Schizosaccharomyces pombe: one gene and its partner. The protein of the gene in region 1 interacts with the protein of each later gene in a pairwise test. Each region holds a gene or a part of one and is shown in the gene's direction. Other genes may lie near its edges.

The links. Proteins that work in one complex are often made in the same cells at the same time.
Region 2: the proteins of msl1 (region 1) and lea1 interact in a two-hybrid assay, tested with the Schizosaccharomyces pombe proteins (one large-scale study listed by BioGRID).

Annotation. Positions count from the first base shown.
Region 1 is NC_003423.3:1,374,331-1,377,470, reverse strand, and holds msl1 (U2 snRNP-associated protein Msl1), read left to right. Parts: upstream 1-1,718; 5' UTR 1,719-1,749; coding exon 1,750-1,977; exon of another isoform or gene 1,978-2,050; coding exon 2,051-2,158; 3' UTR 2,159-2,482; downstream 2,483-3,140. Other genes in the region: ribosomal protein arginine N-methyltransferase Rmt3, read left to right, coding at 1-1,130; transcription factor TFIIIC complex subunit Sfc9, read left to right, coding at 2,536-2,643, 2,691-2,787, 2,846-2,933, 3,133-3,140. UniProt on the Schizosaccharomyces pombe protein: Involved in pre-mRNA splicing. This protein is associated with snRNP U2. It binds stem loop IV of U2 snRNA.
Region 2 is NC_003423.3:4,144,785-4,148,430, reverse strand, and holds lea1 (U2 snRNP-associated protein Lea1), read left to right. Parts: upstream 1-2,160; 5' UTR 2,161-2,367; coding exon 2,368-2,448; intron 2,449-2,509; coding exon 2,510-3,142; 3' UTR 3,143-3,146; downstream 3,147-3,646. Other genes in the region: serine/threonine protein kinase Ppk22, read right to left, coding at 1-775; elc1 (elongin C), read right to left, coding at 3,333-3,337, 3,376-3,509, 3,553-3,601, 3,642-3,646.

The DNA of each region.
Region 1 (3,140 bases):
TTTCTAAAGATGCAGAAATAAAGAAATTAAAGTTACAAAATCAACTTCTTATCTCTCAGCTTGAAGAAATTCGAAAAGATAAAATGAATGAATTGACTAGTCAGACTACAGATCAGCTATCAGTTACCCCAAAGAAAGCAGATAACGATTCTTATTATTTCGAGTCTTACGCTGGAAATGATATTCATTTCCTTATGCTAAACGATTCTGTCCGGACCGAGGGATACCGTGACTTCGTTTATCATAATAAGCATATTTTTGCTGGAAAAACGGTTTTGGATGTAGGATGCGGTACTGGCATTTTATCCATGTTTTGCGCAAAGGCTGGCGCCAAGAAGGTTTATGCTGTGGACAACTCCGATATCATTCAAATGGCTATCTCAAATGCTTTTGAAAATGGTCTTGCTGATCAAATTACTTTTATTCGTGGAAAAATCGAAGATATCAGTTTACCGGTTGGCAAGGTAGATATCATTATTTCGGAATGGATGGGCTATGCTCTAACGTTTGAGAGTATGATTGATTCCGTCCTTGTTGCCAGAGATCGCTTCCTTGCACCTTCTGGAATTATGGCACCGTCCGAGACACGATTGGTACTTACAGCTACCACAAACACTGAATTGTTAGAAGAACCTATTGATTTCTGGAGCGATGTGTATGGTTTCAAAATGAATGGCATGAAGGATGCTTCTTATAAAGGTGTTAGTGTACAAGTCGTTCCTCAAACTTATGTTAACGCCAAGCCTGTTGTTTTTGCAAGGTTTAATATGCATACGTGCAAAGTTCAAGATGTCAGTTTTACTTCCCCCTTCTCTCTAATTATAGACAACGAAGGACCGCTTTGTGCTTTCACTTTATGGTTTGATACGTATTTTACGACTAAGAGAACACAGCCTATTCCAGAAGCTATTGATGAAGCTTGTGGATTTACAACAGGCCCTCAAGGCACTCCTACTCATTGGAAACAATGCGTTTTGTTACTACGTAATCGTCCTTTCCTTCAAAAAGGCACTCGTGTTGAAGGAACTATTTCCTTTTCAAAAAATAAAAAAAACAATCGTGATTTGGACATTTCGGTTCACTGGAATGTAAATGGGAAAGCTGACTCTCAAAGCTACGTGTTGAATTAGGATCAAAGTCTTTACTTAAAAATATAGAATTACTGATTAATGTTACTATGCTGTAGGTTTTTGGATTAGGAATCTTGCTGGGGTTTTAAGGCATTTCCTGTAAAATTATTTCCCCAGAGTGGGAATACGGTGGATCGAAAAAATCATCTAGTCTTAAAATATTCTCTATTTTCTATACTACTAAAAAATAACATTTTTTCAATCTTTTAAATATGGAAATTTGAGTACATAAGGATTAAACTATCAACAACTGCACAATGCTTGGGAAAGATTTTTAACGTGAACTATTATTATCGTTGATTTTTTGTTACGATTTGATTATATTTAAGGGATCTCTAAAAATAATTGTGACTTGAATCATAATTCAGATGACTAGCGTTCAATGGTCGTAGAATTGCAAATAAACATATTTCGTTCCGGAAAATTAAATATGGATATTTATAGCCTTAAAAGATAAATTAAAAATGTAAAAGCTTTAGCATTTTAATGTAATTAAGACGAGCCTTTTCAACAATCCATTCAATAAGTTAACTCATAGCGATTGTTAGCGCGCAGTGTTTGCAGGTAAAAATATAAGGTAAAGAGTTCAGCATTTGCAAAACACCAAACTAGGGCGAAAATGAATCAAAATACACTTTATGTGAATAATTTGAATGATAAAATTAATAAAAATGATTTAAGAACAGCACTATATATGCTATTCTCCACTTATGGGACCGTGGTTGATATTGTCGCGTTGAAAACTCCCAAGATGAGAGGTCAAGCTCATGTTGTATTCTTTGATCCCTCTGCCGCTGCAATTGCGATGAAGGCCTTAAAAAATTTCATATTCTTCGGAAAGGAAATGGTATGCTGTGAAATGAGCTTTCTCATTAATCCCCATAAAAAAACAAAAACGATTGACTAACATCTTTAATAAGAAAATTCAATACGCTCATTCGAAAAGTAAGATTATTGAAAGAATCGTCGCCGAAAATGACAGCAGAGGTCCTTTAAAACGGCTACGTGATGAAGCTGACCTTGAGTAAACTGTACATTTTCTAAAATTCACAATTATCGTTTTATATAGGGTAACTTTTTTCGGGATCCTGTTGGAGTCAAGAGAGTTATAAAGAGTGGTTTTCCTTTTTCTCTCTTTTTGTTCTTCACTGTATATACCTGTTGGTTTTAGTTGTTTCAGGTGTCAGTGTTTGCAGACAGTAAAGCGGACCGATAACACCATCGCATTGTTGCTAAGTTTTATAAGATGAAGCAAAATTCTAGTCCAATATCATCTTGTTTACAGCTATTTTAGTGGATTTTTCATGCAAGTCTTTCTCAACTAGCATTGCGCAAGGCACTGAACTTTAACGCATTTGATGGAATTGTTCACCTGGCTTCAACATCGCTCGTCGTCTTTCTTACAATGGGAAAGGATGTAGCATTGGATTTTCTTCCATCAAGCTTGTATAGCTGTACTTGTTCTTGCGATGGAAAATTGGCTTTTTGCGATTCAGAAAAAGTCCAAATCTTGGTACATATCTCAAATTGACGTGTTCGAGACTAGCTAATTCCCTTCAGGTACCTTCAACTGAAGCCAATACGCCTAAGTTTATGAAGGCGCTAGCCTATTTAGATGATGTGGAAGATGAACTACCAAATTGCCAAATGCTTGCTCGTATGTTCCCAATGCCCTTTGATGCTTATGAGAGTATAAAAGCTAACGTGTTTTACAGCTAATGAGCTTCGTTTAGGAGATCTAACTCCAAGTGTCATAAGCCGCTATGTGGTCTGGTCGCCAACAGGTCTCGCAGACAATTACGAGTATGTTCTTAAAAAGAGAAGACTTGAGTTTGACTTTACTTAACATTCCACTCGGTTTGTGTTTTTGTGCGTAAATATTTCTATTTTTATGAAATTTGTTTCATTTTTTAAAGTTTGTTTATCGTTTCAATGCCTAAAATAAAGTCTTATTCGGTTTTGTTTCTCTATTCTACTTTTTATTTGAACGCTAATCAGCTAGTCCATTGT
Region 2 (3,646 bases), 2.8 Mb from region 1:
AACAAGCATCCTTTTCAGGTAAAATATGCTTTGGAAGGGAATGCAATGCACGAAAAAACTCTCCACCTGCACAATACTCCATGCAAAGGTAAAGATAGTCCCTAGATTGGAAGGAATGATACAACGTAACAATGAACGGGTGTTTGCTCTTGGTCAAAATTTCTTGCTCTGCAAGGACTCTGTTTACCTTGTGTCTTTTAATCATCTCTCTTTTGTTTAAAATTTTCATAGCAAAGAGCCGATGGTTGCTTTTTTGGCGAACAAGATACACTTTACCCACATCACCCTGACCAAGAAGACGTATTTTTTCAAAACTATGAGGTGTGACTTCTACTCGGCTAATTTTTGTACTATTCCCAGAATAAGTTCGTTTGCCGTACTCAGTTCTTCCAAAAATGTAGTTGCCGGGGTTTTTTAAAATCTTGACCTGTGCCTTTCGAATATTGCTCATATTAATTAAAGGACGAGGAGGAGGCGCTTCTACTCCTTTGTGAGAATCAGGTGCGGAAGATACGCGTCTAAGGCTGGGACGACTATCCAATTGATCGCTACTATCATTCAGATCTAATTCATTCAATTGATTAACATTAATATCAAAGGTTGAGTCATCAGAATCATTATCCCTCTGATCATTTCGGACACTAGTAGAAACGGTTGCCGCTCGATTCCTACGAAAGTGAAACAAATTTTTCAGTTTATCTGAAAAGTGCGACTGGCTCATACCATCATCGGTGGAAGAGGGACTTTTGTCATTAAATTCAGTTTCTCGAGCCATTCTAAGTCATCCATTAATCTCGTAGCGCTTCAAACATTCACCGGTTAATAAATTTCGCTGACGGCTCACTTATAATACCTAATATAAATCAGAATGTAAGCAAACTTGAAAAACGACTTCAAAGCTCCCAAATAGTCTAATATAACTAGCCGAATGGTATTCCTCCTGCTTATATTAATTCTTGTTTCATTTGGAGGTGTCGGCAAAAGAATAGTTAGTGGAGCCACGGCCATCCTTATGTTATATAATCCTCTTTTTAAGCATATAGAAATAAACAGTCATATTGTAGCATTAACTAACAAGCAGCTTCAAAATACTTAGTTGAAGCTATTGTAAATAAAAGAAAAAACTTGTTTTTGGTTTTTATGTGTGGGTATTGATCTGTAGTTTTGTAGTAAATTCAGTTTGAATAATTCTTACTGGAACAGAATAAGTGTTAGAATAAATGCAGTGATTTTTAATTTCATATTCTCAAGAGTGACTGTATGATTTATAAGTACACGAGCTATGGAAGCACAACATTTAATCATGTATTTCTTCCACTTTCAACTACAAAAGAGGCTACTCTAAACCCAAACATTATCCGAAATGTCGATGTACATTTGTCGATATCGCTGGCATTTTCAATTAGTCCGACTCATGTGGTATTAGTATGAGGATGGATAGTTGATTCGATATTAGAAGCTGTCATATCAATTTAAATATAATTTCTTAGCAGTGCTTTCATTGAGATAGAGCAATACGATAGAAACAATCTGAAGAATTCATTAAAACTGTTACATTAAAAAACGACTTGATGTCAATATTGTTTTTGGAATGTTTTTCATTAAATGAGAAAACAAAAAGATATAGCAGTTTAGTAAGTATCTCAATGCAATTTTTTAATAGGAAAACAGGTTCCTTAAGCAACTCTGAATAATTGTAAATAACCTGGTTTCAAACTTTCGTTGGCGGTTTGTGCTCACGAAGTCAAATAGGGAGGCAGTATGAACATTATAGATGAGTTGAACTAAAACTTTGAGTGGAAAACAATGTGTGTTTCATCCAAATAGTCGATTGCTTGTGTTTGTTTTTGAGAGCTCAACAGATAAAAGAGTGTGTACCAATTTCTGACAAACTTAAGATATATATTTGACAACAATGAAAAAATGTTTTATTTAAAGGTGTCAAAACACACATATACAAAAATCATTTATTCTCTGTTTTCCCAAGAATTTTCTAGTACGAAAGCCGATTCTTGAACATGGAAGTCGTCAGTCAATTATCAAAGTATAATTACGCATAATTTGTTTTTTTTAAATCTAAAAAGTAGAAAAAGTGAGTATTTTTTGCTTATTGAGTCAAGATTTCTTTGTATTTATTTATGTGCTTACTATCCAAACTCTACCACTTTGCTTCTTCTCTTGACGTGTCATATTCTTGGTTTTTACATAATTAACTTTACATTATTAGATTCTAAAACGTTAACTATAACATTTTTTGAATAAACAATAGTGAAATTTAGGATTGTGAGCGTTTTGGATAATTTTTTAGGAATTTTAAATCATACTGCAGTAACAGCATAAAAAAGGCATTTTCATTACAAAAATTTCATGCGTCTTAATGCTGAATTTTTGTCTCAGGTACCCTCATTCATCAGTCCTTTGAAAGAAACTGAGCTTGATTTAAGATATGTTTAAAGAAATTACTGTATGCTACGTGTCATCCAGCTAACTCATAATTACAGGGTATCAGATTCCAATAATTGAAAATTTAGGAGTGTTAAGGGACGTACACGATGCAATTGATTTCACAGACAATGACATTCGATATTTAGGGAATTTCCCTCGTATGAAAAGGCTTCAAACGCTTTTGTGTGGAAATAACCGAATAACTGCTATAGCCCCAGACATAGGTAAAGTTCTTCCGAATTTAAAGACTTTATCCCTAGCACAAAATCATCTTCAAGAAATAGCAGATTTAGATCCGTTGGCTAGTTGTCCTCAACTCACTAATTTGTCGTGCATTGACAATCCAGTTGCTCAAAAACAATATTATAGATTATATCTTATATGGAGAATTCCTTCGTTACATATTTTAGATTTCGAACGGGTTAGAAGAAATGAAAGGCTTCGTGCTGAAGAAGTGTTTGGTCAAATTCAAAACCCTACAGAAATAGCTTCCTCTATTATGGGTGTGAAAAGTCGAGTATTTGATTTGGCTGCATTGGTACAAAGCCACCCAGAAGCGAATTCTCCTATTACAACTGGATATACACTTACACCTGAGGAAAGAGAAAAGATCAAAGAAGCCATTAAAAATGCCTCTTCCATTGCTGAGATAAATCGACTGGAAGCTATGCTATTAGAGGGGAAAATTCCAAAATAAAGTAACTCACAAGATTTCTAGAAACCGCATAGTTATATAATACATTTTTTCCATCTCATTTCTTGCATTCGATAGGTAACGCGTTTAATAGTTATTTAAGGCATCAAATCGTTAATCGTAAACAAAAACCGTCAATTCTTTAATGCTGTAGCAATTTAGCAATCCTTTCGTTCCTCGTGAGTAATCAGAATTATGCTGTATTCATTAGCTTTAAATAGTAATGATAATCTTACCTTCCAAATATTCCGCAGTGACCAATAATTCTAAAACCATCTCAGGTGGGATATCGAACTTTGGAATATCTAATTGATTTTTATATCTGTAATTGTAATGCAAATATTCACAAACTTTTTCCAACAGTGTTGCCCTAGACACCTTATTAGAATTGAATGAATAGACCAATTGCATACCGTATATCAGGAAATGTGCATTCATTTTTTTGCGCCTCAGAAAATATTCCTATACATTAGAATTACTTTACTAAATATCATTATCAAACCTTCG